2 linked regions of the Caenorhabditis elegans genome follow. The protein of the gene in region 2 purifies or fractionates together with the protein of the main gene of each other region. This does not show direct contact. Each region holds a gene or a part of one and is shown on either strand. Other genes may lie near its edges.

Evidence for each region.
Region 1: the proteins of F46G11.2 (region 2) and fbxc-51 fractionate together in Caenorhabditis elegans (co-fractionation; one large-scale study listed by BioGRID). This does not show direct contact.

The regions. Positions count from the first base shown.
Region 1 is NC_003280.10:866,964-872,231, forward strand, and holds fbxc-51 (F-box C protein), read left to right. Parts: upstream 1-1,850; 5' UTR 1,851-1,867; coding exon 1,868-1,935; intron 1,936-2,288; coding exon 2,289-2,674; intron 2,675-2,842; coding exon 2,843-3,740; intron 3,741-4,461; coding exon 4,462-4,636; 3' UTR 4,637-4,736; downstream 4,737-5,268.
Region 2 is NC_003284.9:5,786,123-5,790,928, reverse strand, and holds F46G11.2 (uncharacterized protein), read right to left. Parts: upstream 2,769-4,806; 5' UTR 2,767-2,768; coding exon 2,700-2,766; intron 2,645-2,699; coding exon 2,547-2,644; intron 1,957-2,546; coding exon 1,859-1,956; intron 1,804-1,858; coding exon 1,687-1,803; intron 1,632-1,686; coding exon 1,539-1,631; intron 1,494-1,538; coding exon 1,331-1,493; intron 1,276-1,330; coding exon 1,179-1,275; intron 1,131-1,178; coding exon 934-1,130; intron 893-933; coding exon 677-892; 3' UTR 584-676; downstream 1-583. Other genes in the region: F46G11.6 (ZP domain-containing protein), read right to left, coding at 3,717-3,857, 3,913-4,085, 4,233-4,401; gakh-1 (Protein kinase domain-containing protein), read right to left, coding at 4,779-4,806.

The sequences.
Region 1 (5,268 bases), on a different chromosome or scaffold from region 2:
ACGTGTTCTTTTAAATTTTTAATTAATTTTTTTTTGAATTTCCGTACTAGTTCCATGTCTCAATGACCGATAGACGCATTTTCCACGCTGTTGACTAGCGCGTCAAGCGCGCTAGGCTTCGCAGTAGTTTAAGTTGGAAAACTCGGGAAAATTTTGATCATTTTGAATGAAAACTGATTGAGCCATGGTCATTTGAGATAATATTATTTCTGGGTCTTTTCTATCCGTGTATTCGGGCCTGCGGCCCTCAACCTGGATTATTGGGCTCAGAGTAGGCTTAAAGATTGTCCAATACTTCTATGTGTATTTGGGCCTGCAGCCCTCAATCCGAATTAACTGATCTTTTCAAATACAGACGTAGTCTCATAAAAGTCCTCCAGCCTGCTCTGCTGGAAGTAGGGATAGAAAAAGCCTAAAGTTTCTAAGAGTAAGCAGGCAGCCCTTATCCCTGATTTTTGGATTTGAGTGAAATGAAATAGCATTTGGCCTGTCCTGCTGAGGTTAAAAGTGGCCATAATGTTCAAAAAGTGCGGTCCTCAATATGATTGGAGCTATTGAAACAAATTGCTCAAAAAAAAACGCCAATCCTAAGCTAAGATATAAGTTCTCAAAGTGCAGTCACATTTCTCGGGACACCTCATGTCGAAAACGTGCCCTTATTTTTTATTTCTGTCAAGTGTGCAATTTACGGATTTAATATAGGAACACTTGAAAGCCCGGAAATGTCGGCTGCGGTTCTTGGTTGATTTTTTGTTAATACAAGCTTGAAAAATCTTGTGAGATGTCTTCTACTGTTTCGACATTTTGAAAGGAACCGGGAAAGTGTCGGCTGCAAACAAAGTTGATATTAAAGTCAGCATCCGACATCTCAATGGATGTGGCCAATTTTGAAATGGAAGCCTGTGCTAATGCACCATGATAAACCCGAATAAAAGGGCACTGAAGATCAATTTTCATTCTTTTTTTCGCATTTTTGGCGACCCAATATCTACCAATTTTCCAGCGTAAAGTTAATTTTCTGCCTGTTTTTTTTTTGCAAACACGGCAAATGTTGTAAACAACATATTAGTATCAAGGTCAGATTTGGTCCAAACCAGCATGATTCTTGCCCCCCTCTACCCTAAAATAGTTTGTCAAATAGAAGCCTCAATTGATTTTTCACATGAAAATTTTTCAAATACCAACTTAAAAATATCATAACTCAGCTGAAAGTTGAGCTAGCAAAAAGTTTTCCACCAACAAAATGTTTGAAAATTAATTTGAAATATTTTTGTAGTTGACAACTTTTCAATAGCTCAATTTTCAGCGGAGTTATGAGCTTTTGAACTAATTTTTCACAAAAAAAATCTATAGAATCTCTTTTATTCTAATTCTCCATTCACATCAAGTAGTCCGGGTACGTGTAGGCTCTCTATAGAGGACCGATGCTCAAGGTCAACAGAGATAAACATTCCCGCCCCGTCTGCGACAGATGGACAGAGGTCACCTAGTTATTTAGGGTAGTCTAATGGTCCCTATTGCCTCTCCAACGGGGGTATGTAATAGGGGGAAGACGGACAATTATTGGGTATTTTCCACAAGTTTTGAACTATTTTTTGGCTGTTTTGTCCGATTTCTGACAATTTTTGGACTATTTCTAGCTATTTTTCGACTATTTTTTTATATTTTCGTTGAAATTTTGCTATTTTTGGCTACACTCTGGCAATATTTTACTACTTTCGAATGCAGCTTTACTACTTTTTGGAAATTTGTTTACTAGATCATAGTCATTTTTTGTCAGTTTTTCACAATTTTCTCGTTTCTTTCAACGTTTTTCTCACTTTTCGCACCAATTTCCCACTTTTTTACAGGTAATAAATACCTACATATGAGCTTAACACCACTCCCATATGAGTGCCAGAAATGTGTACTACAGTTCTTTGAAGCTAATAGGAGGTATGCTTTTATTTTTTTTTGGAATTCTGATTGTAGAGCTGAAAAAAGTTTTTGAAAAGCTATTAAAGTTTAAAAAGAGTTTGGAATATATTTTAGTAGGTTACTTTTTCAGAGCAAAAGTTGATAAATTTACAGTCGATGCATCATGTTTTCCTCAACTTTAACAGCTCAAAATTCAATTTTCTTTGTGTAAAAATTTATTAAAACGGGCTTCGGTAGAAGTATAATAACTTAAGCAATTTTCTGTCGATGAACCATGTTTTGCTCAAATTTTGAGCCGTTCCTAGAAGTGGGGCAGCTACCAATATTATTTTTACTTTTAAACACCTATCAACCTACTTAAAATATTCCAGATTTAAATTAGTGGAACGATGTGACTCCCTAAAAGCAGCCGACAAAGCTGCTCCCCTCCACATCTACAAGCTCTACATGAATCCCCGTGTCATCCGAATCAACCGACATAGGTACACGTTAGGACTGCTCCGCCACCTACCGAAAGACCATGTCTACTATAGTCCATATATCAACAATGTGAACTTAGATGGAGGTGCTGCCTATGATATGGATCAGTATGGGCTTAAGGATCCCCGCTGCAATGAGGTTTTGAGCCCTGGAGATTTGAAAGTTGAAAGCAAGGAAAAAATTAATAATATGGAGGATATGACAATGGAGATGTTGCAATTTGCAATGCGGGATTTTATAAGACCACAGGGGCGGATGCAGGTGCAGCAGAGGGAAGGTAGGTGATAAGGAGTCCAGTGATATGTCGGCTGCTGTTTAAGAAAATTTAGAGCACTATCTCAGTTGACAAATTTGTGATAGCTTGATTTCTAGCTGAAATATGATAGCTTAAAGTGTTTCGGCGGCCAATTTTTGTTTCGGAAAATCTCAAAAATATATTTTTCAGACCCTGAAAGCTCTTCCGAAGATGATGAGGATGAAGCAGAAGATCTTCCAGCAGAAGGATCAGATGATGAAGACGATGACCCCCAGGAAGCTCAGATCCGGCGTATCCTCGGCGACGCTTACCTCCCAAGAGCACGCTATTCATCTTCAGAATCCGAAGCATCTGAATCCGAAGACGAGCCAGACATAGATCCAGCAGTCACCGACCAACTCGAAGCATACACGAATCCATACAGCTGGCGAGAGGAAAATGAACCAGCTCCATACAGATTTGGCATCAGATTCCAAAGGATGAACTTAGACTTCAGGCGGGACAGGGAGACTTTCCATGGGATCATTGAGTATCTGGATTATAACAAGAAAATGTATGATGCGATGAAGTATATCACAGAGAAGTTGTTCGGAAAAAGAGCTCACCCAATTGTGATAAAGACCCTGGAGCTTGGTGATGCAGGTGGGGTCTACCGACTCCCCGAGAATTTTAAAGTGAAAGTTTCCAATATGAGATTTGGTACGGAGTTCGGACTGCTTTGGGATGGTCTGAACAGTATTTTCCACGAGAGCACTCTGCCTTTCAAGAGCTTGCATATGCCTCTAGAGCACGACCACCCAGTTATCCATGCCACCCAGCGTCTGGTTATCGGAACTGAGAAAATGTTTGGGGAGAACTTTGCCTGGATCCCTTTCCTACTGAAGCTTCCACAGAAGAATGTCTACATGCTTCATAGTCCACTGTTCCATCATGACTATGTGCAGCTGATTGATAATTGGATCGAGACACCGAAGAGTATTGGGACCTGCTTTACGTTTGGTGTTAAGCAGTATCACGCCACCCAATCCACATTGAACTTGCTCGGGGATCATCCGATGGTTGTGAGCAAGAGGATGGAGGGAGTAGAGTAAGTTCGCAAAATTCAGGATGCATCGATGCACCAGCTGGAAATTTGGAGCTCCGATGCACCATGTTTTTAGGGAAAAGTCGACAAAAAATCTTCATTTAGTTTTTATTTGAACATTGCACTGATATGTAATACATCGAAATTTGAGTTTGAGGCTCTTTAAATAGATACAAACTACCTCACTTGTGCTTTTTCGAACTTTTCAAAAGCCCGTGAAGTGTCGGCCGCTGTAACTTTTCTCCTGGTAGAGCTAGTGGAAAGTTGTCAACTACAAGATTGTAGATGCTATTATTTGCAACGGTTTTGCAGTTGAGCAATTTTATGAAAGTAGTTGGGTTTTTGAGTTATGCTCTTTCGAAATTAGTTGTTTTTTTTTTGCAAAATTATCCAAAAACTAAAACTCAAATTTCTAACAACTTTTACAAAAACTTTCGTGTTGCAAATGCGTTGCAAAAATTCTGACTTACAATTTCAAATTTTTCTGTGGCAGAACCTGTTCTGCGGCGCGCAGGTTCGATTTTATGCAAAAATTTTTTTTTGAAGTTTAGCATTACACCTCAACTATGGAGGCTTATATCTTGATGGAAAATTGTTTACTGGCAAAATAATAAATATTACTTTCACTATAATTTTTTATTAAATATTCTAAAATTATCTAATGTACATACTAGTTTATAAACTTCCAAAGTTGGACTCTTCCCAAATTTTCCTTTTTTTCCAGCTGCACCGAATTCCCTCACTGCTTCAACATCCCGCTGACCTATGAATCCGAGCTTAATGTCTACGGTAAGAAGAGAACTGAAAACTTGGACCCTTTGGAGTTTATGCCACATGTCAGTTGGTGCCTGGTCTTCGAAGTGATGCCAATTGGAAGCGCTTTACCATTGGAGGACTGATTTTTCAATTTGCTAATTTTTTTTTTCAATTATGTCTTGTTGTCGTGTTTTTGATAATCTGAAATTTGTTGCGTGGATTTTAATAAAATGTTTTTTTGGTACTAAAAATGTTCCTAAATTTTTCTATATTTTGCTAGTTACCGGCTCAACGAAGGTGGTATATTTTAAAATCTGAATATCTGTAAATCTACAAAAGTTAGCAAAAGATTGTCAATTAACAAAATAATCTACGCAAATTGTTCTATAAGTTGTTAATTTACAAATTTTTTGTAGCTCAACTTTGAGCATAGTTATGATAGCTCTAAGTAGGGACAGGTTACCTGATTTTTATCAATTTTAAAACTTAAATATCTCCAAAAGCATCAAAGCTAATAAAAAATGTTGGGTATCTACGTGTACCTTACCCTTAACGTGGATATGAAGATCGTGTAACGTGAACTCATTATCTATGTATACTAACTTTCTATTTATTCCTTAGTTATGTAATAATAAACTACTCGTCTTCGCCTCCTTGTTCGGCCTCGAATATATAACATTGGCGATCAGGATCTTTCGGGCTCACTGCACCACTGACTTCATGCACATGTCTACTTAGAAGAAAAGACCTCTGAGGTATTGTTTTGATCTACACA
Region 2 (4,806 bases):
AAGTTCTCTTTCAAAAACCGTTTTACTGTAAATCATTGAGCTTTTTAATTATAAGTTATTTCCTTCAAGAGATTGCACTTCTTAAAATGTTCGCAAAAATTGTATTTCAAACTCGGAAAATTCAATTGTTTCTTTTTCTGATTCAATTCAATAATTTCTATTCATTTGTGATCCCAAAGGCAATTAGAGATTTTTTAAAAAATAAGTTTTCTGTTTCAAAACTTTTTCGAATTGAACTATTTCACCAATTGTCAACATTTATTTACAACGAAAGTTTCAGCCATTAAATTTTATTTAAAGTGTTAAAAAATGTTTTTCTTTCAAAAATAGAATATTGCCGAATGAGAAAACTGTTTACAGTTACGTGCTCATAACCAAACTTAAAAACCAGAAGTATCAAAATTTTTATATACATACAGTCACAATGTGTCAATTAGTCAGTTCTTCCACTAACAGATTTGGAAAAAAACATCGATATGCAAATTTGCCCTATTGTCCAAATCAAATCACACATTTTCCAAACAGGACCATTAACCAGAGTATTTCTTTTTTCCAATTTTGCGTTCAGTAAGTTTTTCATTTCAAAAGAATCTTGATTTATTACACCCGTCAATCAAACAACTGAAATTTTAAAAAATAAGAAATGATAGAAAAACTGTACATATGTGGATAAGATCTATACACCAAGTCCCAGAAAATGGACGCACTGTTTCAGACCGGTGGTTTCAATTTCATCTTTCTCATCTATGTCACTATCAAAGTTTCCATAGTAATCATCAGTATTGCCAGACGATTTTTTAGATGAATCAGAAGTTTTTGAAGGTTTCTTCTTTTCGTCGATCTGATCGTAGTAATCAGGAGATCGTCTGAATCGCTTGATCGGATTGAAGTCCTGAAAAAATTTAGATTTTAAAAATTCAAGTTGTTATTCACCTTGAGGAAATTGAATTTATCTGTCGAGAAGAATATTCCATTCTCCAACTGTGGTGCTTGAATCGGTTGTAAAATTAGTGAAGGCACAGATTTGAAAGCAAGCGGCGGGGCTGGTGGAATAGTTGGAGGCGCGAAAAATGGCATTTGAGTCCAGCTAGAGACAAGATCATTTCTGATTTCCAGCGGTTGTAATGATTCTGTAAATATTTTAAATATAATGAAAAGCTTACTTGAAATAAACATACTTGTCTCAGGGTTGCTACTCCACGTTTTGGATCCGTGTGCTGTTTGCACGGGAATCACCGGGGTAATAGATGGGGTATCATAATCCGCCCAGCGCTTCTGAAATTGTTAATAATATTCTCATTGTTCTAAAATGAGAAAAAGAAAACCATACTCTATTATCATCGTCTTGTAATTGTGCAGGATCGTCCATCATTGGTTTTTGAGGCTCATCATCAGTAGGCTCATCAAAATCGGGGATCGATGTCACTGGTGGTTCTGTGGATGGAGGTGCACCGCCTTTTGCATCTGTTGGCTTTTCAATAGATGTCATGAACCTGAACTTATTTTTTCTATAAGTTTCAATGTTAAAGCTAACATACTTATCAATCAATTGGAATCCCTTGGAAAATAATTTACACTGCGCATCATCCATGCCTTGTTCTTTGCATACAGCGTGAACTGCATCAGAGTTACTGGAAATTTGATTTACACTTTATTATATTTGTTTTTTTGTTTGCACAACCGTACCTGCTGATAGTTTTTCTAAGCTTAGCATCTCCAAGTATTTGAGCAGCAAGTTGTATATTGCCAAATGTCGGATCTTTTTTGAAGTTTTCAGCAGAACACGAAATGAATCGGCAAATACTGAAATTCCCAAAATAAAAAAAAATGAAAGTTCCAAAACATTCGAATTACTTACTTGCTATTCCCCTTGCAAAGTGGTACATCATCTAACGCAGTTCTCGAGTGTGATCCCAAAATTGATGAGTCGCGCATATCATCTTGAGTTGGAGCGTCCTTTAAAATTTCAATGTATTATTTGGAACTAATTTTTACGCGTGCTCGCGTATGTCATTTTCAAAATTTTTGAAGCATTGGAAAGTTCAGAATGCTCAAAACTACTGAATTTCGTGATAAGACGTTCTGAAATTTTTTTCAAAAACGGTATGGCGGTTCTAAATTTTGAATAAAATGTAAATTTTCACTAAAATCTCAAATTTTACTCGATTTACTAGAAATTTTGCGCGACCATTTGTGGATGTAAGTTTTTATTGCGTAATTTTGTAATTACGTCCTGTTTTTTGATTTAGGCTCTGATTTTGTCAAGTTTGCAAAATTGGAGATTTTAAAACAGTCATTTTTTCAGTACTTATAACCGCCTTCAGTAATTCTGAGGAATTTTGAGTACGTCTCATTACAAAATTCGGAGGTTTCTAGCTATTTTGGGTTTAAAAATCGAATTCCCAGATTGTTTTACCTCACCGTTTAAGCTTGCAAAGAAGCTTACAGGCAATATTGGTGATTCAATTTATATCACCTAATTCGATCAGTTCTGGAATTGACTCTGATTTTGAGCTTACTGGTTTAAGCTTACTGGTTTAACTCACTGGTTTTCTAAGCATTCCTTCGTTTTGAATAGGTTTTGAAGTGTCAAAGATCGGTCTCACGAGACTTAATGCGCCGGATATAATGTCATCAATTGAAACTGAAAATTGTGAAAGATTGCTTAGGTTTACAAGGACGCTAAAAATAAAACTTACTTTGCCTTTTGCTTCGCTCTGATAATACTACAGGTACCAATAACAGAAAAAGTAAGTAACATTTCATCTGGAAAAACGGCTTTGTGATCACAAAAAATTGAACACCTAATTGAAAAGATAAAGAACGAGGTTAAGGATAAGATCACGGTGACCGATTTAGTGAGAAAGAGACGAAAATGATAAGAAACGGTGAATAAAATGATATAGTCTTTCACTTTGGTGGGTCATGAAGCATGAAGCAACTACGATCCAAGACTGGATCAAGTGATTAAATGATGCGCCTTGCGACATACTCATGTTTAGTGAACTTATTGAAAAGGTCGCCTGACGCTTCTAGAAATAACAGTATTAAGGATGAACGTCCGGAGGTAAGCGGGGGAAAAGTTTTCCTAAAAACCGGTCAATTGCGAGACTCGTCTGCGCATCCGCGTGTTCCAACCATATTTCTAATATATCTCCATTCAACAAGCGCATAGGGAGATTCTCTAAATTTCGCTTGCGCAGGGTTGATCGATCGATCGAATTACTCCGGTTATAGTAGGACACTTCGCCTCCAATCCGGTGATGCAATTCATGGATAGAGATGATAGAAACAGCAAATCACAGCGGAAAACAAAAAAATCCACGCTCGCTTCATTGCTTCATGATTGGAAAAAGGTAGTTCAAGTTCAAGGCCGACAAAAAACAGAAAAAAATAGATAGAGAGTGAAAGTAAAAAATATATATAACAAATTTTTAATACTACAGCTGGTTTGCATGGTATTCTGATACATTTGCATAAACCGTTTTTTTTTCACTTTTTTTCTGAATACGTGCGTAATGTTTGTCTGGCTTGAAAGTACACAGAGAGAATGAAAAAAAAAAACAATTCCGATTGTGATATGCATGTTATTCATTCAATGAAAACGTGTACTTTAAAATGTTTTAAATGACAAAACACCAGATAACCATAGATTTAAAATCGAAGTTGTTAAATAAAATCACAGAAGTGAAAAGTAAATGAACATGAAACTTCATCTATTGACATTTTCTGCGAGTACACTGCCCATGTTCAATTGGAACCACAGTTGTTACACAGAACAAGACAACGGCGGCAGACGACGCACGGAACCGAATTGGGAAGGGATTGAAGATTCCCGCCTCAAAGTGGTTTGGATACTGAAAATAGACATTTTGTAGATATTGTTCTCCAAATTTCCTAAATTCTTGATACCTGAACATTTTTGAACAGTGACTCTTCAAGGCTACATCCCATATCATCAATAATAGGGTATGGCTGGAAACCTGGCTCATCCGAGCTCAATGTGCAATTTACAACTTGGAGGCAATTTCCAGTTATTGGCTTACACTTTATTTTATAGTAAATCTCGTCGTCAAGAGATGCTCCTGAAATTTTTGAACTTTTTGAAACAATAACAGAGGCTGTTTGACAGACATTGTATATGTTTGTAGTTTTTTACAAACTTCTTTTTTTTTTAAATTCAAATTTGTTATTTTCTGAAACTTTTTTCAAACACCAGAACTAAAGCATACCTGAAACAACTTGTCCATAAGGTCCCTTTTTGTGAATCGAAAAGTCGCACGTTATACTATTATCAACAGTTTTCGACAACAAGTTCGGTTTTTGTTTTGACTTATAGATGGATAGCGTGGGCGCTAGAACGCTAAGAAAAAGTATGAATACGAGAAGTTGGTTGGACATTTGTATGCTGGATCGATTCATTCCATTCTGGAGATACCCCGATACAAGTAGGTCATTGCGTTCGGAACAATGTGTTCTTCTTGATTTATTACTTTTCGTAGACGATAAAACATTTGAATTTTTTGATGTACAAGTTAAGAAGTAAGCATAATTTAGGATACATTTTATTTACAGAGAAACAAAAAAATGAAGGAATGAGGATGGATTTTTTTCTGAAAGATTTATAAAATGAGTATTGAAGAGAAGAAGATACTCGTTATAAGTACATTTCCATCTTTCAATTATTGGCAAAATTCGTACAAAACATTCACAGGACGGGAAAGAAAGTGAAAATATGATAAATAACTATAATTTTTGAACTACTTTACTATTTTAATCTATTTCTTGGTTGACATTTTCATCATA